Linked DNA regions of Canis lupus familiaris. The protein of the gene in region 2 interacts with the protein of the main gene of each other region in a biochemical or structural test. Links are inferred from orthologs where the notes say so. Each region holds a gene or a part of one and is shown on either strand. Other genes may lie near its edges. The genes, in order: DGKZ, SNTB2 and PTPRN.

Region 1 (7,327 bases), on a different chromosome or scaffold from region 2:
GGTTAGTGCCACACTGCAGAAGCCACATTTGCCAGGCTGGAGGTTTTGGAATTCATTCTGAGCTAGTGGTTCCCAAAGTGGTCCTGGAGGTGCCCTAGACCCTTTCAGAGAATTAGTGTGGTCAGAACTATTGGCATAATAATACTTTCAGAGCCGCCCTGGTTCACGCCCTTTTCACCGTGTTAGTAGTGTTTGTAGTGACCGTGCAGAGGCAATGGTGGTGTGGAGCAGCTGGCCCTCTGACACAAACCAAGGCAGCGGCTCCAACACGAACTAGAAGCCGTGGTATTCTTCACACTCACCACAACAAAATGCAGTAAAATGTATTAATTTTATAAAGCCCAGACCCTCGAGTATACATCTTTTTAAATATTCTGTATGAAGAAATGTGAAATCTAAGTCAAGGCAGTTTTGCAGACTGTGATGGTTGTCTTGAAAAGCAGTCTTGGGCAGCCCTGGTGGCTCAGCGGTTTAGCGCCGCCTCCAGCCTGGGGCGTGATCTTGGAGACCCAGGATCGAGTCCCACGTTGGGCTCCCTGCGTGGAGCCTGCTTCTCTCTCTGCCTGTGTCTCTGCCTCTCTTTCTCTCTCTGTGTCTCTCATGAATAAATAAATTAACTCTTTAAAAAAAAAAAAAAGAAAGAAAGAAAAGCAGTCTTGCTGCTGGGTTGCAAGCTGTACTAGTTACTTTTTTTAAGGAACACCTTTTTAACTCGAAAGAACACCTGGCAGACAAAACTCTTCAGAGTTGGGTATTTGGCAGACATTTTCTCAAAAATGAATGAAGTGAGCTTGTCACTTCAAAACCAGTATCAGTATTTGTTGCTGATGATAAAATTTGAGCCTTTGAAAGGCAAGAATTAGAATTTTGAAAACCTCATATGCACTGTCTAGAGCCTGACAGCTTCCCAGGACTGGAAGACTTTTCTGGTGAGACCAATAGCGACGTTAGCAAGTATGACTTCTTGATTTTGTATAAGGAAATGTGTCAAGTTTGGAAGATCTGCATAACTCAGTAAAATATATTTTCCAATGCTTGATATTACAAAATTCACAATGCAAGATAGATGAGTGAAAAGTTCATTAATATGGTTTCAGATTCCATATAGCCACTAACCTTTAAGAAACTACCACTTGTCACATTTTGATGAAGTAGCAAAGAAGAACATCCATAATTGCCTAAAAAGGCTATTAAAATACTCTTCTTCTAACTACATGTCAATGTGAGGCAGAATTTTCTTCACATACTCAACCAAAACAACATATCACAACAGATTGACTGCAGAGGCAGATAGGAGAATCCAGCTGTCTTCTATTAAACCAGAAATTAAAGAGATTTGCAAAAATTAAAACAATGCTACTCTTCTACCTAATTTTTTTTTTTTTTAGGAAATACAGCTTTTTAATTTTATTTTTATTTTTTTTTATTTTTTATTTTTTTGGAAATACAACTTTTTAAAAAAATAAAAGTATGTCTGTATGTTAACATAAATGAGTTTATTGTTTTTAGATAAGTTAATATTTTTTAAATCTCTCAGTTTTAATTTGTAATATGGTAAATATTACTAGTTCTGACCCCCGTAAACAAAACCTTTTGGGATCTTCAGTAGTTTTTAAGAGTGTAAAGGGGCCCTGGGAGTTTGAGAGCTACCACACTTGACCCTGGAGAGCCAGGAGTGTAAGCTGGAGGAAGGGGGTGGCATTCTGGACAGGATGGGTGTGACATGAGCTGACCTCTCCGGGACACAAGCCAGGGCAGCTCTGACAGACCTCTCTTGGCAGGGTGGGGAGACCCAGGCTGGATAGTCCCAGCTCAGCCACTTCTGGGCTCCGGCAGTCACAAGCCTCCATGAGCCTCAGCTGCTTGTGGTTTAGCTGGGACGGTAATGCCACCCGTGCAGGAGAATTATAAGCCTTCCGTGTGATAATGCTTGTGAAAAAGTGCTTTGTAAGTTGTGAAAGACTCAACAGATATTTGTTTTTGTGGTTACTTTGATGGGAGCCAGTGCTTAGCTGTCTCAGACGCTTTCCCCCAACCCCAGAACACCTGTCCAGTGGGTAGGAGAGGACATTCGATGGCCAGAAAGGGTGCGATCCACCCCCCACTTCTACCTCCCCAGACCTTCTCTGGGAGCCAAGGCAGGGGCCGAGTGGCTCTACCGGGTGCCAGGTGGAGGGGAGGCTACTGGGCTATTGCTCAGGCTGGCTCTGGGGACTTTGGGAAGAGAAGCCAGGAGGCAGGACTGGTGCGCGTGTGCCCGCCCGCCCACCGGCCGCCTGCTTGCTGCAGGGCCTGGAGCTGCCGCTGGGAGAGGAAGTGCAGTTGGTTACCAATCGGGTTATTTTCATAACGGCTGTCTCAGGCTGGGGGGAGGAGGGTGACGAGGGGGAGGGGGCAGGGGAGCAGCCACAGCGGCTCTGCTCACTCTCCAAACTAGGACTTGCTCCGCCAGAGGCCGGCAGCCTGGAGCTGGAGGCAGAACCGGGGCTACCTGCCCACAGGGACCCCAGGCCCCACCCGTTCGCCCACCTCCTGCCCGCCACCCTGCCTTCCAGATCAGGTCAAAGGGGACTACCCCCCAACCCTTCCTTGCCTTCTGCTTCCTCCTTCCTGTATCTGTCTGGGTGGGTCTGGGGAGGAACGGATCATGGTGGGCCCAGGCACCACCATTCCTGGATGAGGCTCTGAAGCTGATGGAAAAGGGAAGGGAAGGGGTAGGCTAGGCTCCTGCCCCAGCCAGACCCTGTTGAGGTCAACATTACTGGCCTGCGGCCGCCTTTCCTATGCAACCCTGGCTCACCTGCTCCCTGCTGCGCGTTTGTTTTGTTTTGTTTGGGGCAGGCTTCTCTTAGCAAGTAAAGACCTCGGGAGAGCCTGGACCCTGTCTCACCAGCACCCTCCCCCCCCCACAGGCCTGCCTCCACACTGTCTCCACCTCCTTCCCTCTGACCTTCGGGCTGTGGGAGCAGAGCACCCAGAGGTGGCTTCTGACCAGTAGCCCCTGGGGAGGCCTCTCCAGACCCTCACTCTGGGGCCACTATGCACCATTCCCAGCCTCCCTGAGGAGATGGGCACATGGGGCCCTGCTCACAAGGGGGGATGAGAACCCTGGCCAGATCCCATGGGGTGTCCTGTGCAGGCACCTCTGGGGGCCAGGCCTGCTATGAGGGGCAGAGGGCATTTCTTACTGTATGAGCAGATACCCAGGTGGCTCTCGCTGCCAGACTCTGTTCTTCATGTGGTGGGTGGTGGCTACCCCAGGGACTCCTGCTTCCCTTTCTAGGTTCCCACTCCCACCACAGGCAGAGACAAAAACCCCAGGCACGATCCACACACCCTTGTGTCTGCTGTGGGTGTAGGCTCTGCCATGCCCCTACCCTCTGCCAGGTATCATCAAGTACTTTATACCATCATCTCATCAGAACCTCCCTTATGCCAACCTTCTCAACTGGGTAGTATCACCCCATTTTGCCGATGAGAAAGTTGAGGATCAGAAAGGTTAGTTGATCCAACCGGGAAAGCAATGGGAGGATTCCAAAGCCCTAGGGCTTTTCCACTTGAAACTAACATAGGGAGGGAGATAGTCTAGGCTGGGCGGCTGGGAGTCTGGTTCTCTCGAGCCGGTAGCCAACGAAGCTGGGTCGTTGACACCCGCTCACCCACTGGCAGCTGCCCGTAGCCACACTCGCTGCTGTTCATCAAAGGCACATGGCCGGATGTGTGTCCCTCCTATAGCATCCTTTGTCTTCCCCAGGCTCTCAACAGCCAGCTGGAACCCTTGAATCCTTTCCCATCCTGTTCCCTTTGGGTGTGACAAGCTTCCCTCGGGTTCCCCGCAGAAGGCTCAGAGGCAGCCATTTTGCTGTGCTATTGGTGTCAGAACCCTGCGGGGTCTCCTCCAGTGACCTTTACATGTAGTGTGTGGTATGCTGAAGATAGATGGCAGAGCACGAATCGAGAAGACACTGCTGCTTAGAGCTGTGCTGCGGGGAAAGGCTGGGACACGCCTGAGGCCAAGTGGGGCTTCTCAGAGGACCCAGGAGAAGCCTCAGCAGAGATAGGAAGTCTGGAATCAGGCTATTGCTGACCAGAGGACAGAGGTTTCTATGGAGACCAGAGGAGCAGGAAGCATGGGGCCTGGGGGGAGGAGGCATTGGGAACATAGAGGCATGGGTGCTGTGCAGGACAACTTGTCATAAAATATCAGCTCAGCCAGTCTCGTAGTCTCCTTGGACAAACAAGATGACAGGCCCATGTGGGGACGGCTTTGTACATGGTCGCACGACAGTGGCCTGGCTAGCCTGCTTTGCTCCCCACTCAAAGTGACTGCACCGCCAGGCAGCTGATGAGACTCCTGGACGGTTGGACTTGGGGCTCCCCGGCAGCATGTGGGCTGGAGCCCTATGGAAGCACCCGTAAGCTGCCACCCTGTTGTGAGGCGGCCCCTGCCTCCTGGCCCCACTCATCAGTGTGGGTCTGGGCCCTGGCCACTGCCCCAGACCTCATCGCCGCTCACAGAGTGCCTGCAGCACCTCCCCCCTACTTACTGTGGCCTTTTGTTTTCTGGGTGACACTAGCATCAGGCGGTGTGTGTCCGGGTGACTAATCTCCTCCAGGCTGGGCAGCTGTCACAGGGCAGCCTGACCAGACGGGCGGGGAAAGCTGACACCCTGGGGGAGTGCTGGCAAGCCAGTGCCCAGGCAGCAGTGGGCAGCTGGGCCTTCAGGCTTCTTTTCCTGGGTACAGAGCAGACCAGAGTCAGGCAGGCCTGGGTTCAGGTCCCAGTCCTGCCACCGAGCGGCCTTGTGACGTGGGGCATGTACTGCACCTATTCAAGCCTCGTCTCTGTAGTGGAGCCACTGATCCTGCGTGCCTCACAGACTTGTGGTGGGGATCAAGTGAGATGATAAATGAAAGTACTTGCTTAGGGCCTTGTCCATTGTAGGTATTCAAGCAGTTCAGCGGCCATTGTTGCTCTTATCAAGGCTCCCCTTCCTGCCCCGGCCCACCTGAGTCTCAGCCCCATTGCCCAAAAAGAAAGATCCTACTCTCCGCTGAGCTTCTAGAGTACAAACTTTGCCTTCACGCAGACTTGGGTTCCGTCATCGGCTCCCCATTGGCTAGCTGTGGACTTCAGGCAGCTTACCTCCTTGTGTCCCAGCTTCCCATCAGGAACATGGCATGATGCAGGGCCTATTTTTTCATGTTGCTCTGGTTTATAAAATGATAACGTGTGTTTATAAAGGGCTTAGCAGAGTGCCTGGCCCATGGAGGGCACTCCGTAAACGTTAGCTCTGGCGATAGTGATTTTTGTAGCTAGCCAAGAGCTCTCTGCCCACGCCCGTTCACTTGCCCTCAGAGCTTAACTCCTGCCCTTCTTCCTGTCGGAGGAGGGACTGTAACAGGCAGAGACCAAGAAGAGCCAGGCAGTCTCGAACACTGGTTCCCCAGGCACACTGCCTCCGTTGTTCCCTGGTCACAGGAGCTCAGACACCTTGGCCCTATGTGCCTCTCCCTAAATACCTCTGTACCCATCCAGGGCTTCAGCCTGGCATTGCTTGCCTGGACTCACAGGGTAGTAGCAGATTAAAGAGTGGGTGAGTGGGTGATGGGAGAAACAGGCAGTCGGCACGTAGCTGTGGGCCTGGGTCCTCGAGCCCTGCATCCACCACCGTTTGTCCAAGGCTCCCACCCACCATGCCTGACTTCCTCTAGGCCCTTAGCAGGTGGCCGTATGTCTCTTGCTGGCCCCAGGCAGATGTCCCATGGCTGTGACTTGGACCTCTCTGTGGCTGCCAGGGCCCAAGAGATCACTTGGTGGTGGGATACAGGCCCTGGGCATTCTGGAGGCATCCTCCCTACCCCTGCCCCAAGTATACCTGGCTTCCTGCCCTTCCCCCACTGTTTGGAAGAAGTGAGGGTACAGTAATCCCAGCAGCCTGTAAGAAGGGGCAGCCAGGAGTAGATGAGCTGGCGAAGGAGGCTAAGAATGGGTCAAGGGAGGGTGGTTTGAGTAAGGATAGTCCCCCACAGGAGGGAACTCTGGGTATAGAGTTGGAGCTTCTAGCATTGGTCCCCAGGACACAGTGCAGTTCACAGGCTCCCTTGGCAGCAGGGCTGGAAGGGTTTTCAGACCTCACCCGTCACCTGGTACTTGCACACATGGGAGATCCGTCCTCGGCGTCTCCAGAAAGGTGAGACAGAGCAGTCTAACATCAGGAAAGGGCCTGCTTTTAGCCCCTCAGAGATAGAGATGCACACCCAGAACACACCTGAAGGCTTTCCTCTTGGCTCAGGCCTCTCATAGCTTCCCATGTAGAGTCCCCATGGTTGAGGACTGGGGTGGCTCTCTCCCTGTATAACTCCCCCAGTCTGAGGGCGTTGGTCACCAGAGCCCTTTGATCCCTAAGTCAGATCTTCCCCTTGTCTGGTGCCCAATCTCTGCCTGACCCCACGGTTTGGGGCTGAGTCTAGGGGTCTTATCTGGACTGAATTTCCTTTCAGAGAGCCTCCTTTTATTACCATAGCTTACTTTGTGCCATGTCCCAGGAGGGGACACCTAAACCTAACCTGCTCTCAGTTGGTAGCTAAAAAAAGGCCCAATGAGAGGGCGGGGAAAAAGGCTTCTCCTTGGCCCCTCAGTCTGTAGAAGCCAACTGTACACTGGAACCCAGGACGGTGGGCTTCCAGTTTCCTTTTTTTCTTTTCCATCAGCTTCAGGCAAGGGAGTCAAAGGCCAGGGCTTTGTGGTTTATGATGCCTGGACAGGGGAGCCACATGGGTGGCTGGAAGCCCCTTGTACTCGTTACTCTTGGGGCAGCAGAGGGTATAACTGGGGAGAGCGGTAGTGCTTCCAACAGTGGTGCCTGTGGGCTCCCCTGAGGATTCCGTGGTACCCTCACACGACCTATTTATGGAGGTCAGAGGCCGTGGACCCCTCCTTCTTCCTCCCTGTGTCCCTTCTCTGTTCAAAGGGTAGAGGCCATGACTGGGCTCCAGAGCGTAGGATGGGCCAGAGCCTGGCCCAGCTCCTGATGCTCCCGGTCTCTGCCCAACAGCCCTCCACCTGCCCCTGGCATGGAGACCTTCTTTAGGAGACGCTTCCAGCGGAAGGAGCCAGGCCCCGGGGAGGGGCAGCGGCGGCCCAGCAGCGTGGGGCTGCCCACAGGCAAGGCCCGGCGCCGCTCCCCTGCTGGACAGGCCTCCTCCTTGCTGGCACAGCGGCGCCGCTCCAGTGCACAGCTCCAGGGCTGCCTCCTGAGCTGCGGGGTGGGGGCCCGGGGTGCCAGCCGCCGGCGCTCCAGCACCGCACCTCCTGCCTGCAACC
Region 2 (7,327 bases):
AGACCTTGGTTTTTGTTACTGTCCTTTACTGTAGTATTCCCAGTCCCTAAGATAGCACCCAGGTCACAAACCGTCAAATGAGTAACAACCTTTGAGGGAGATATCATTACCATCCTGGTTTTTCAGATGAGGAAACTAAAGCTTAGCCAGGTTGAGTAACTTGCCTAGGGGTTACAAACCACTAGCCAGAAACAGACCCACGTCTGTCTGACCACAAAGTCCTCATTTGTACTTACCCTCACTGGGCAAAATAACTTCCTACTGTCTCTCATTTGTGTGTATTTACTGGTGGCAGCTGTGTCTTAGGGGAAGCTTCAACTTCTCCTTCAACCTTTTCCCAGGCATCCTCAACCTCTGACCCCACCAACGCGGGGCAGGGAACCAAGATCTCTATAGATCTCTCCTTCCTTTGTGCCGTGTCCTCTCCAGAGTTCTATTATAAAATCACTTTTAGCCCTTTGTTATAGTTATTTCTCATCTCTCTCTTATCTCAACTCCAAACTTCCTGAAGGCAGGAACCAGGTATCTTCAAGTGCCTCTAGCACATGGTAGAGTTGAGTAAACATTTGCTGTATGAACGAATAATCCCAACAAATTCATGAGATAAAAAGAAACCCTTTAGCTCAGTTCCCTAACCACAAGCAACCAGAGACTACTGCTTTCTTTTGCTTGGGGGTGGCCAGGGCATGCCTGAAATTCCCTGCCCACATCACAAAAGAGCATCACTGTGCTACTAGGGCAGCTTTTCAAGTTCTGAGACATCTAATGGAGGTTCCAAAACTTTAAGGGCTAAGCATAAAATCTATCTTTTAGCAGTGGTCTACCTGGATGGAACACCAGCTCTTGATTTTAAAATAACGTTTGACTAGTTCAACTAAGTCACTGTTATCACATATTCTAAGTTATTTTATTTTATTTTTATCTCTTTGGCTTGAAAGTGTCATTTCGGGCAGCCCAGGTGGCTCAGCAGTTTAGCGCCACCTTTAGCCCAGGACCTGATCCTGGAGACCCGGAATCGAGTCCCATGTCGGGCCCCCTGCATGGAGCCTGCTTCTTCCTCTGCCTGTGTATCTGCCTGCCTCTCTCCCTCTCTCCCATGAATAAATAAATAAAATATATTTTTTTAAAAAGTGTAATTTCATATTTCCCCACACATTTAAGGACAAAAACTGCTTGTCATTTACAAAAATAGGAAAATAAAATAGAACCTGTGTGTTAGGTAAAAAGGCACTCAATAAATATGTTATTATGCTGCTATTTGCAAAGCCTCCTCCTAAAAGCCCAAGTGGCCTATTTTAGACTAATGAATACTGGGAAACATTTACCAGATGATCTTCATTTAATTGGTATGAATACCAGGTTCAAAATATAGCTAAACAAGAAACTGGGTTGTTAAAAAATATAGCATGCAAAGAGCTGAAATGTCTGCCCATTACCGCCTAGTACTACATAAATAGTACTACTTCAATATTCTGGTTCTAAGAATTTATAACCAAATGCTTAGCTAGACCAACTTCAAGGTGCACATTTAAGGTTACAATTTTTTTTTTAAGATTTATTTACTTATTTATGAGAGACACGGAGAGAGAGGCAGAGACACTGACAGAGGGAGAAGCAGGCTCCAGGCAAGGAGCCCGATGTGGGACTCGATCCCAGGACCCCAGGATCATGCCCTGAGCCAAAGGCAGACACTCAACAGCTGAGCCACCCAGGTGTCCCTGGTTACAATTTTTTTTATATACTCACTGCCTATGCCACAGTCTATAATTTTGCTCCATTTATTAACACTAATTTCGGAGCAGTGTCTGGCCCCACCCATGAGATATAAATAAGACTTATAAATAGGATTATCATAGAGATGGGACACTGGAATTTCACACTCAGAGCACATGCAAACAAACTAACATTTTTCCAAATATTTACAACCCGATTTGGAAAAAAAGTGAAAAATCACTCTGCCAAGCTGGACTTCTGACCTCTCAGTTTCATGACTGGTCTCTGCCTACCCTTCTTCCCCACCCATTCCCTTCTGCTCTTCCTCTGCCAGGAATACCCTCCTGACTCATCTCTGTCTATGTCCATTACTTCCTTAGAGACCTGGCTCAGGATTCAGCTCCTTGAAAAAGGCCTCCCTGACTAATCCCGATTGCCACTACTTCCTAACTTTGCATTCCCTTGGCATTTATATATAGTTTGCATTACATAATCACTTAACTTAAAGTCGTTTTGCATTTTTCCATCACGTCCCCAACTAGGGACCAAAAAGAGAACCATTATGCTTTACATCCTCTTCTATACATCCAGTAATAAATGCCTGCTCCTCGAATGACTGAATCACCAGTGAGAGAAAGGCAACTGCTCACAAATCTCTGAAGTAAGCAACTGGCTTTTCCGATCACACTTAAAACACTCGGTCACCTCCAACAAGCGCGAGCACTTTCACGGAAATGAGATTTACTCTTGCCTTCCATAAATTCATCACAACAGATCCAGGTTACGGATCACGTACGTACTTAAAGTAAAAAATAATAGTGGCTGTTCAAACATATCTTGAGATGTACCATTTCAGGCTTCATTTAAAGCCTTGCAGCAGCAAGTCTCTGGAGGGTAGGAAGCTGGCACTAGTCTCTTGCAAAAGGGGCAAAAACTCTCGCTGGCAGTAAATGTTCAAACACGTGAGCCTCGACTGTTAAACAAGGCTCATTAGCCACCGAAACTTGCTGTTTCAGCTCTCTGCTTCGACCAAGTGCTATGATCTCTTTTGGTTACTGTCGAGCGGGGCCAATGATGGGTTAAATCCCTATAAATTAACCAGCAGTTTGATTTGCCCAAGCTCACCCCTGGCGTCGGTGGGGGTGGGTTGTTTTTTTTTTGTTTTTTTTTTTTAAACAGACCCCGTCGCGGGGGAGAGCCAGCTGTGAGCAGAAGGCGCCACCCCGGCACCTCTCGGGAGGCACACGGAGCCCTCCGCGGCCCCGGCGAGCCCCCTCCGAGCCCCCTCCGGGCCCCCTCCGGTCCTTAGTGTCAGCTTATCCTGCAGAGGCGGGGCTTCAAGCGCCGGGGCTTTGTACTAAATCTCAACCGAGTCCCGCCTGGGGACTGCAAGCCAACTTTTCCTTGCAAGGAGCATCAGCTTTTCCACACGCAAAGCCCCAGGAAGCGGGGTCCGGGGGGAGCCGGGGAACGGCGCGGGGAAGCGGAGGACGCGGAGGGGGAGGGAACGGGCTCCCCGCGAAGGGGCCGGAGGGCAGGGACCGAGTGCGCGCCGCCCGCCCCGCCCCGCCCCGCGCCGCCCGCCGCCCGCCCCGCGCCGCCCGCCGGCCCCGCTCACCCTCCAGCAGCACCTCCTTGCCCGCGCGCTTCAGCGCCTGCACGGCCTGGTCGTGGGTGGCCTGGCGCAGGTCGGTGCCGTTCACCGACAGGATGGCGTCGCCCAGCCGCAGCGCCCGGCTCTGGTCGGCCGCCAGCCCCGGGAAGATCTTGGAGATGAGGATCGGCATCCGGTTCTCGCGGCCGCCCTTGATGCTGATGCCCAGGCCGCCCGCCTCCTGCTTCACTACCCGCACCCGGCGCACGGGCGGCGACGCGCCCGCCTCGCCCGCCGGGCCCCGCGGAGGCGCGGGCGGGCTCGGGGGCCCCAGGCCGCGGCTGGGGCTCCCGGGCAGCGAGTCGCCGGCGCCGCCGCCGTTCGGGAGGCCGTTGAAGGCGGCCGCCGCCGGCCCCAGGGCCGCCTCGGGCTCGGCCGCCGCAGCGTCGCCCGTGAGGCTGAGGCTCTCCCCGCTGAGCTCGGCCACCACCCGGACCCAGCGCTCCCGCAGGAGCAGCTCCACCAGCCCCGCTTTGGTGGCCCGCGTCCACACCGCCATGGCCGGCCCCGCTCCCGCCGCCGCGGCCGCCGCAGATACCCTCATTCCAGTCGGGCAGCCTCGGCGCTTCCCCCTTCCCGCCCGAGGGGGCGGGGCCGGCCGCTCCCCCCGCGGCGTTTCATTATTCATGAGGCGCCACGCCCACCGGCCGGGGCGGGGCCGGCGGGCGGGGCGGGGCCGGCGGGCGGGGCCGGCGGGCGGGGCGGCTTCCGGGAGGCGGACTCGGGCGCTGACGCGGTGCCTGAAGCTCGCTGGACCGACGCGCGGGGCTCCGGCCGCTCTTCTCCCCGCGTTCGCCTCCGGAGGCCACCCCCGAAAGCCCTGCCTGACCTCAGCCGCGCAGCTCACGGGAGCAGCCGCCACAGGGAGAGTAGAATCAGCTTCAGAAGCGCTTTGCTGGGCCGCCCGGGCGGCTCACTGGTTGAGCATCTCTCCATCTGTCCTCATACCTGGTCCTGGAATCGGGTCTCGCTTCGGGTTCCCCGCGGGGAGCCTGCTTCTCCCTCGGCCTGTGTGTTTGTCTCTCTCTGTGTCTTAGGAGTAAATACATAAAATTTTTAAAAAGAGGAAAAAAAAAAAAGAGCACTTTGCAAGCCTGCAAGACTTGGTTGCACGTTTACTCTTGCCTCGGTTGGTTCATGATGTATTTACTGAGCGCTCAGCCCCGAGCTCCTTTTGATGTCTGGAGATGAGCTGCATAAAACATACCACAGTTAAGAGCTGGCGGTCTAGTGGGGGAGGAGAAAGGAGAACCAACCAACCCCGGGTGATACGATGTGGTTAAGTGACATGTAGAAAACACCCTGAGAGCCAGTAAAAGAAACATCTGGTTGGGCCTGGGGTCAGCTTCACAGAGGTGACACTGGAAGCTGAGTAGGTGGAGCAGAGAGAATTGCATAAGCAAAGGTCCAGAGACATGAATACAGCATTTGTTACTCTGCTTTGTAATCACCTGTTTACTTCCCGGGAGTGAGAGAGGGGACCATTTCTTCTTCAGCCCTGCAGCCACAATAGGGAGGCCTCAAAGATATTTACAGAACGATGGTTACCTAGGAGGATGCAAGAATTCAATGTGAGCAGAGCACAGGGTCTGTGGAGGTGGAAAGGAGTGTGAAAACCCTCATATAATCAAATATGGAAGAGTTTGGACTTGGATTTGATTTTTTTTTTTTTATGATAGTCACAGAGAGAGAGAGAGAGAGGCAGAGACACAGGCAGAGGGAGGAGCAGGCTCCATGCACTGGGAGCCTGACGTGGGATTCGATCCCGGGTCTCCAGGATCGCGCCCTGGGCCAAAGGCAGGCGCCAAACCGCTGCGCCACCCAGGGATCCCTGGACTTGGATTTGTAGATCTTTCTCATCCTGGAGGTCATGGCCTGCTGTTGGGGCAAATGCTGAGGGGTATCCCCAGAAATCATATGCACACCACAGAACCTGTGGTGGCTTCTATCCAAAGGCATGAGTGTTGCAATCCACCCACTTCCAGCTTCATGGGCTGGGAGAGCTGAGGAAACTGAGGCCCAGACTACCAAAGAGTCTATCCTAAAGTCCACAATGAGGAAGGAAAAAAACTCAGGTCTTCCAGCCTCCTGGTCTAGGGCTTTACTATACACTCCAGACCTCAAAAATGAGGATCCGGGGTGCCTGGGTGGCTCAGTGGTTGAGCATCTGCCTTTGGCTCGGGTCATGATCCCAGAATCCTGGGATCGAGTCCCACATTAGGCTCCCCTCAGGGAGCCTGCTTCTCTCTCGGCCTATCTCTCTCTCTCTGCCTCTCTATCTCTCATGAATAAATAAAACCTTAAAAAAAAAAAAAAACATGCCATCTAATTTTCCTTTGGCAGTAAGAGTGAAATCCCCATGTTTTCACTTGTGGGGAGCGGGGCTGCAAGCAGAGGGAATGTGCACCAGTTCCCATAAAAGGGTCTGTATACCTGCTTGCTCATGAAGTACATGTTGAAGCTTGTGAGCCATGTCCATGCACTTCTCTGTGAATGCACATTCATGTGTGGGCAGGAACATTCAAAGAGCCTCCTATACTAGGAGTTAAAACAATAAAAATGGAGACTGGAAAGTACCCAGAGCCCAAATGAAGAAACAATTGAAAATGAGAAAAGTTCTTACCAAAAAAATCATTACAGCAGAATCTTCTTTGCAATTAGTGGAGCAGGATTTTCCAAGCTGCAAATGTCAGCAGAAGCTCAACCCTCCTATCCTCTCCTAAATCAATTGCAATGGGGCCAGTTCCCTGTTCCAGCAGGTCCCAATGTGCCCAAGTGCATTTGCAGTCACAGACATTTCTGGCTTTGCTCCAGCTGAGCCGTGAGCCCCCAGAGGCCTGAGGTATGTGAAATTTCTGCTTATTAAAGAATACTTGGCAGCTGATTCCTTGGAGTATAAGCATTATTTTGAACACTTTTACGTCCACGATCATCCAGAGGTTGGGCACTCGACAACACCTTTGTTAGCAAAAGGGAAGTGCTGGAAATTCTTCCCAAAAGTATCAAGACCTTTTGGTCAACAGAGTTGGAGGAAGTCATAGATCTTCCAACTAAATAGTAGGGGCACTTATATAAGATAGTAAGTTTAAAAAAAAATAAGATAGTAAGTTATGTGATAAAATATTTAATTCTAGGAGGAGAGAAGGTAATGGAGATTGCTATTTGGGTTACTTGGGAGTTTTTACTTAAAAAATTATTTTAAAATATATCCCTGAAAAATTCCCAATTTATTGAGCTGTTTTGGTCCTCCATCAGAATTTAATTTTCAATGTCCTCTCCCATCACTGTGTTCAGATTAACCATGTTCCTCTAGTTGGTGTTCCCCGATGAGGCCATCCAAACACCTCCTGCTCCTCTCAACTACTTTCCCACATGGCAAGATCTCATCCTCGGTTTCCCTGTCTACCCAATATGCTGGGATTTTTCCTTTGAACAACTTTATTCTTTGCCTGCCTGTTTTGCCTAAGTAGGTTATAAAATACAGGAGGGCAAGGACCACCCATTGACTCCTTTTCAATCCCCACTATTCCAAAAATATTGCCTTGCTGAGAAGGAACTCATTAAACATGTGATTAATTGAAATTCAGTGCCTCCTGTGCTGTAGTCATTTCACATAATCCCTCTGAAGGTTACTGGTTCCTTGCAGAGTGAAAATTACCATCTAGGAAATCTCAAGTAGTCAGTGGAAATCTATGTACTGTGGATAATGAAATCTGAAATAAAAAGCGTACACATCTGTTACCATGGTTTCTTAGGGACAGAGAGACTAGCCTAGATAATTCTCTAAACAGGCATGTTATTTTATCTACCTCCAAAAAAGAAAATGGCTGAGATAATTCCTAATAACCTTTCATTCCTCTCACCTTTCAGTATGTATTCTCTGCTCAAGCTATTTTCTTTTTTTTTTTTAAAGGATTATCTCTCTGATTGCCTTTTTTTTTAAAAATTTTTTATTTATTT
Region 3 (7,327 bases), on a different chromosome or scaffold from region 2:
CTGAGACTAAGTTTGAATCCTCTGCCATTTATTCATTGTGCAACTTTGGGCAAATTACCAAACCTGTCTGAGCCTCAATTCTCTCATCTGTAAAATAGGGGTTTATACTTCCTAAGATTGTGATAATTAAAATAACCCAATGTAACTTGGTAAGAACAGTACCTGTCACATAGTGAACTTTAAACATCTGCTCTTATTATTAATTATTATTATTATCCTCATTATTATTCCTATTCTTTTTGTTGATGCTGAATCTTACTTATCTTTGTAAAGTGGGAATAATACATCCTTCATGGAGCTATTGTGAAGATCAAGTGCAATCAGAGAAATGAAAGTGCTTAGAAAACTCTAAAGCTACACACATTTTAAACATTCACCACCACCACCAGCAGCAGCAGCAGCAGCATCAATCATCCTATGCTGAGGCAGATCTCCTGTTTGACTCTTTCCTTTCATGAAACTGTTCTCAGGCAAAGTCAGTTACCTATTCTAAAGGCATAATCTCCCACGCTCCACCTCCATTCCTTCTTCCTTGCTCCTAAGTTAATAGTCTGTACTGCTTCTAATTCACATTCTAAGATTGATTAGCATCCATACCTGCCTCCTTGCCTCTGAACATCAGATCACTCATCCTATCTAAGGCCAATTGCTTCACTTGAGCACTGGATTTCATCCCTTGCTATCTACTTAAGAATATCTTCTCCACAACTTCCTCCTATTTCCTACATGATCATTTTCCTCTGTTCTCTACTGAATTATTCCCTTTATCACTCAAACATGGAATACCTTTAATCTTATAAAGTTACTGTATGACCCCACATTCCTCTCCAGTGATCACTCCATTTCTTTCCTTTTCTTTCCAGCAAGACTCCTTGAAAGTGTTATCTCTATCTACCAGCTGTATCCAATTCTTTTCGTCTCCTTCCCTCCTCTATTCAGGATTTTATTCCCACTCATTCTACCAAAACTATTTCAATCAAAATCACCTGTTCTATCAAAACTATTTTCATCAAAATCACCAGTAACTTCTGCATAGCTAACTAAAGCCAGTGGCCAATTCTCTGATCTCATCTTACTTCACCTACCATCATTATTTGACACTATTGATCACTCCTTCCTCTGTGGTACATTTCACGTGGCTTCTAGGACACTGAACATTCTTGTTTTTCCTCCTACCTCATTGTCTCCCTCTTCTCAGTCTACCTTGTTGGTTCTTCTCCTTGTCCTGGTCCTTTTATTATTATAATTCTCTAGGCTTCTTCTTCATATACACCAAATCCTTTGGTTATCTCACCTACCTTATGAGTTCACTTGCCATTAATATGCCAAAGAACTCCAAATTCATATCTCCACTCCAGAATCCTCCATCTCTTTTCAAAACCGAACTCATACTCTCAACTTCCACTTTACTTGAATAAACATCTTAAATTTAATATATTCAAAACTGAACACCTCCTCCTCCAAATTGATCCTTCTGTATAATTAATGACATCTCCATTAATCAATTATTCAGGCAATAAAACCTGTTGTCATTCTTGACACTTCCCTTTCTTTCACAGCATTTTCCAATATTTCATGATAACATGCTTACTACCTGTAAAATATATATAGAATTCTCTTATTCCTTTCTACCTCCCTGCAATCACCTGATCCATGCCACATTCATCTCTTACATGAGTTATTGTGGTAGCTTTTAATGACCTCCAGCTTCTACCCTTGACTCCCTTCCATCTATTCTTAACAGCAACAAGCTTGATCTTATTAAAGTAGAGGTGAGATTATGTATCCCTATGCTTAAAACATTGTCATGGGTTCCTCTTTGACTCAGAGTAAAGACAACATCCATCCATACATTCTCTTGTAGGTCCCTACAATGATCTGCATCCCTATTTCCCAATACCTATCTGCATCTTCCACTTTCCCTCTCTATCCCTCCTTTACAGCCAGACCATAGAGGCGTTCTCCATGGTATTCTTCAAACTCATGCTCCTGCTTTAGTAAAGCCTTTTGTTCTAGCTCTTTGATCAGCTTGAAACACTGCCCCCAATAACCTCCTGGAATACATCTCCACTTCCTTGATGTCTTTGTTCAAATTTCATAGTCTCAATAAGATCTATCTTGACCACTCAATTTGATACTGAAGCTTCTTACCCCACCATTTCTGACCCCTTTATCATGCTATGATATTTGTTTTTTTCCATGGCATTTATCACCTTATAACATACTATGTATTTTCTAATTTGTATATTGTATTCCCCTTATCTCCCAAAATGTAAGTCCCAGTAGACAGAGATCATTGTCTGTTTTATTCCCTGATACATCCCAAGCACCGAGAATTAAGCTTGCCACATAGTAAATACTCAACAAATAGTTGTTGAGTGAGTGATTTTGATGAGTGAGCTGTTCTGGCTGAGGACTCCAGAATTCATAATTGTGGAGCACTCAGACAGTTCCAGGGAATAGACTGGTCCTAAGGAGATGGACACTGGCTTCTTTCAGTGGCTCCTTCTGTGGAAGCCTCTAGACTCCTTCCAAGAGTCCAAGTGTGAATAGCCCATCTCTATGGTTCCACCCCGACTCCTGTCTTGTCCCCTTCTCCAGCAAGGTCTGGGAAGGTGAGGCTCTAGAAGTAGGTGTGATAACAATGTTTCATGAAGAGAAATTCTCAAGTCAGGTGGCCCCTCACTTCCCCACCCTTATCTAACCAAATTCCAGTGTCTCTCCTTCAGTGCAGCTAGACCTCACCTTGGGACATGAGTTGTCGGAGCACACTTTGTAAGCGCTGAAGAACTGGGGAGGTGACTTGCAAAAGGGGCCGGGCCTGCCCCACTCCCACCTGGCACTGTCCAAATAAGCCATCTAAGAGCACAAAAGTGGTGTCAGCAAGGAGCTTTCAAAGTCCAGGTTGCAAAAGGGCATTACTCTCTCCATCTCTATTGGCTTCAGAGAACTCTGTTCCTTCAAGCCATTCCTTCTTCACAAGCCTAGCACCCCTTCCCCCCTTCCAGGCCTCCCACACACACATCTTTCATGTTGTGTCCCCTGTCTTGTAAATCCTATGCCTGGTCCTCACTCACCCTGAATACAGACTTCAAGGTGAGAGCAGAGTCTGCGATCAAACAGACAGCCTGTAGAGGGAAAAGCAAGCAGAGGCTAAGACACCCACACACATAGAAGGGTAAGAGAATGGACAGGCTGGGAAAGGGGGAAACAGATGAGGCCCATTCTTTCATTCTCAGAAAGGCTTTAAGCTGGGAGGAGAGTAGGGAGGCCTAGAATTCTTAAGAGAAGGAAGCACAGGATCTGGCTTTGGATTTTAAGGATCTGAGAGTCTGGATCTTTTCCCTAAAAGCCTCAGTTGGCTTAACTGAGTGATGGGGAGAAGAAGCCTTGCAAGCGCAGGGGGTACTGAAGGATCGTATACTTCTATTGTCATAGAATTACTATGGGGGGGATTTTTGGCCAAATTCTGAGGAAAACGGGACTTTCCTCCCCAAATCTCCAAAAGCATTCTCACTATGATGGGCTGGGACTCCAACGAGATGGAAACCCAGGCACACCTTCCCTTCGTGTAGGAAAGGGGTAGGGGTGGGGTGTCTGGAAAGCAGCGCTCCCCACACCGTCCCTAGGTCAGCGGCCCGAGCCGCTGGCGCTGTCCGCGGTGCTGAAGCTCCGAGTCTGGCGCCGCCGAGGGCTAGCTAGCTCGGAAGCAGTTACCGGGGAGGGAAGGGTACTAGGGTCGGGAGCCTCCACGAGACCTGACCCCTCCGCCGTTCTAGACTTCACTTACCCCCCTACCAATCCACAGCGCCACAGGAAGTACCCCGCACTGGTCTCCAAGCCAGGTGGGGAAGGAGGGCGTCAGACGGGGAGGCTGCGCCCCTTCCCCCACGCGCCCCACCCCCCTCCCCCGGCCCGTGAGTCAGCGCTGACTGTCTCTGTCCGCTCAGATGTGAGTCAGCACCGGCCTGGCTGTGGGGAGGGGGCCCGGAAAGGACCCTTCTCTCTTCACCCTCCTTTGCCGCCTCCTCTAGCCGTCGTCCTCTTATTGGAGATGAGGTCGCAGCAATCTGCCTCTCGGGACTTAGAGGGAAACCCTGGCCCCTCCCTCGGTCTGATCCTCTCCTGGGAGCTGGGACCCCATGCTCAGTGGCCCCAACTCCTGCCCGAACGCCGGGGCTCCCTCTTCCTACCCCTACCTCCCACCCCCATCCCTCAGCGCCAATCACCACTTCTTTGGCGCCTCAGCGCCACTTGCTTCGCCCGTGGTCTTGCAGCCCGTCTCTAAATCCTTCCGTCCATAAGCACCCCCATTCCTCCTCCCAAACCCGCAATCCTTCCCCGAGCCTGCTTCTCCTCGGTCCCGCCCCCGTATTCCAGCCCCACCTCCAGGCCTACGCCCCTTTCCTCCCAGACGCCCTCTCGTCTTCCCCGTCTCCCAGCGCTTACCCCTGCCCGACTCCAGACACCTATTCCACCCGAGGTTCCTACCTTCGTGACACCTCTCCCCACCCCCCACCGAGTTACGCTCCCGGCCCCATCCTCCACCCCCCACCCCACCCCCCACGTTTCCTCCTGACCGTGGGCACTAATGGCGCTGCAGCCTCCCGGGCGGCTGCTCAGCAGCAGGAGGCAGAGGAGCAGCCGGAGCCCCCCGGAGCCCCCGGGACCCCCAGGCCGCCGCGGGCGCCGCATCCTTCCGGGCTCGGCGCGCTCGCTCCCCTGCCACAACCGCAGCGACGCCGGCCGGAGCCAGCCACAGGGGCCGAGGCGGGGCCTGCCGCTCCCCACCCACCGGCGAGGCGGGGTCTATACGCCCCTCTCGCGGCAACTCGGCCAACCCTGGGCGGGTGGTGACGACATCTCCACCCCCGGCTCTTACGCTTATTTGCGTCACACGTGGCGTAAGAGCTCTGTCTTACGGAGGTGCCTGCCCGCAGCTCTTCTCCCTCCACCGAAGAGTAGGCGCTGCAGTAGCATTCCCCCTTGGCCCCACCCCCTTTGGACACACATTTCTCGCCAAGGACTGCCACCTCTGTCACCCAGTCCCAGGGTTGGAGGAAAGGGCTGCAGCTGGGCAGAGGCCAGGAAATAGGAGTCGGTTAGTATAGACCTAGGATGAACATAAAAGTGAGTAGAGGAGGTACTGTTACGCATCTCAATGAATGGTACTGGTGTCATCCTTAACAGCAGGGATGGTCCTGCGTGTGTGCCTGGATTCCAAATCTAGCAATGCTACCTACTAGGAGTATAACTTTGGGGAAGTTGCTTAACTTCTCTGCACCCAAATCCCTAATCTGTAAAATAGATGTGCTGGGACACCTGGGTGGCTCAGTGATTGAGCGTCTGCCTTGGCCCAGGTCGCAATCCCAGGGTCCTGGGATGGAGTCCCACATCAGCCTCCGTCAGGGGAGCCTGCTTCTCTCTCTATCTATGTCTCTGCCTCTCTCTCTGTGTCTCTCATGAATAAATAAATAAAATCTAAAAAGAAAATAAAATAGATATGCTAATAATTCCTACCTCACAAGGTGGTTGTGGGGGATTACACGAGTTAAACTCATGTGGATCACATAGAACAAAGACTGCCCTGGCATATGCTAAACACATGATACATATTGGCTTTTGTTATTAGTCTTGACTCCTCTTTTAACCTCTCCTGCCTCAAGCCTATCAACAATCTTACGGTTTCTACCAGCAAATTATATCTCCCATCTGTCTATTTCTCTTTTCCTCCACTACTTTATCTAAACCACTGTGCTCTTTCATCATGAATATTGTAATTACAGTCTAATTAGTTAGACTGTAATTGTCTAACTAATCTTTTGTTTTAACTCCTTTCACCCAGAAAGCTAAGAAGTGAGCTTTCTAAAGTTCAAATTTGATCACTTTATTTTCTTGTTCGTCATTAAAAATTTTCCAAAATACAAGAAAAGATAGTGGTGCATACTAAATACTCATGTATTCATCAACTAGACTTAACAGTTATTTTTGTTTTGCCAAATTCGCTTCTTTTTAAAACTCAGTTATAGACGTCATGTTTGCCTTATAAACGTGTCAGTGTGCATCTCCAAGAAATAAGGATATTTTCCCACATAATCCAAATGCCATTGTGACTTCTAACAAAATTTACAGTAACTCTCTAATATCATTTAATGCTTAGTTCATATTCAAATTCTCAAATTGTTTCCAAAAATGCCCTTTCCATCTGTTTTGTTTAAAATAGGAGTAAAAAAAATAGGAATAAAAGGCCACCATTGCATGTGGTTATGTTTCTTAATTCTCTTTAAATTAACATAGGCCCCCCACCCCATTTTTGACATTGTCTTGTTGAATAGATGAGGTTAGTTTTTCTTTACAATTCCCCACCTTCTAAAATTTTCTGATTATTTCCTCATGATAGGTTTCCCTGTATTTCTCCAGTATCTATCCTGTGTATCCCCTGCATTTACTGTATGCTGGAAATTATTTTTTTAAGATTTTATTTATTTATTCATGAGAGACACAGAGAGAGGCAGAGACACAGGCAGAGGGAGAAGCAGGCTCCCTGCATGGAGCCTGATGCGGGACTCGATCACTCCCTGGGCCAAAGGCAGGTGCTAAACCACTGAGCCACCTAGGGATCCCCTGTATGCTAGATGTTATATCTAAAGTCTTGATTGGATCAGGTTAAAATTTTTTTAAACAAAATGCTTTATAGGTGATGTTTATGTCTCCAATTGTGTCATTTCAGGAACTGCATAATGTCTGCCTGTCCTACTATTAGTGATGCTAAAGTTGATCACTTGTTAAAGGTAAAGATCGATCACTGTATGTAAACTTATGTTTCCCTCTTATAACTAATATGTAATCCATGGGATGATATTTTGGCATTGTGAAAATATTTAGTTCCCATCAACTTTTCACCTAATGGATTTGCTGTTCCTTGATGGTTCTTGACTAAATTACTTCATTAGAGGGTCACAAAATAGTGATTTTTCTAATTCTATCATTCTTTTATTTTTTTTTAATTCTATCATTCTTTTAACGTTTGTTAGCTAATTTTATTGTATAAAGATGAACTTTCTTCATCAACTGGGTTACTTACTCTGAAATACAATTCCACCTTGGAAAGGTAGCATACATTCTAATTATTTTGGTTTTCATTTGCAGCATAATGAATTTAGGTATAGTAGTTACCTCCAACAGTGACAAAAATTTTTTTTAAGATTTTATTTATTCATGAGTGACACAGAGAGAGGCAGAGACATAGAGGGAGAAGCAGGCTCCCCGCAGGAAGCCTGATGTGGGACTCGATCCCAGGAGTATGGGATCACTCCCTGAGCCGAAG

Evidence for each region.
Region 1: the proteins of SNTB2 (region 2) and DGKZ form a complex in vitro, tested with the Homo sapiens proteins (2 studies listed by BioGRID and IntAct, with this or other methods). The link is inferred for Canis lupus familiaris from reciprocal best matches to the Homo sapiens genes SNTB2 and DGKZ.
Region 3: the proteins of SNTB2 (region 2) and PTPRN form a complex in vitro, tested with the Homo sapiens proteins (2 studies listed by BioGRID and IntAct). The link is inferred for Canis lupus familiaris from reciprocal best matches to the Homo sapiens genes SNTB2 and PTPRN.

The regions. Positions count from the first base shown.
Region 1 is NC_049239.1:43,526,822-43,534,148, reverse strand, and holds the start of DGKZ (diacylglycerol kinase zeta), read left to right. Parts: upstream 1-2,409; 5' UTR 2,410-2,560; exon of another isoform or gene 2,561-4,386; coding exon of another isoform or gene 4,387-4,415; intron 4,416-7,058; 5' UTR 7,059-7,077; coding exon 7,078-7,327. UniProt on the Homo sapiens protein: Diacylglycerol kinase that converts diacylglycerol/DAG into phosphatidic acid/phosphatidate/PA and regulates the respective levels of these two bioactive lipids.
Region 2 is NC_049226.1:81,040,711-81,048,037, forward strand, and holds the start of SNTB2 (beta-2-syntrophin), read right to left. Parts: upstream 3,927-7,327; 5' UTR 3,912-3,926; coding exon 3,332-3,911; intron 1-3,331. UniProt on the Homo sapiens protein: Adapter protein that binds to and probably organizes the subcellular localization of a variety of membrane proteins. May link various receptors to the actin cytoskeleton and the dystrophin glycoprotein complex.
Region 3 is NC_049258.1:25,724,828-25,732,154, forward strand, and holds the start of PTPRN (receptor-type tyrosine-protein phosphatase-like N), read right to left. Parts: upstream 4,821-7,327; 5' UTR 4,696-4,820; coding exon 4,581-4,695; intron 3,129-4,580; coding exon 3,078-3,128; intron 2,860-3,077; coding exon 2,746-2,859; intron 1-2,745. UniProt on the Homo sapiens protein: Plays a role in vesicle-mediated secretory processes. Required for normal accumulation of secretory vesicles in hippocampus, pituitary and pancreatic islets.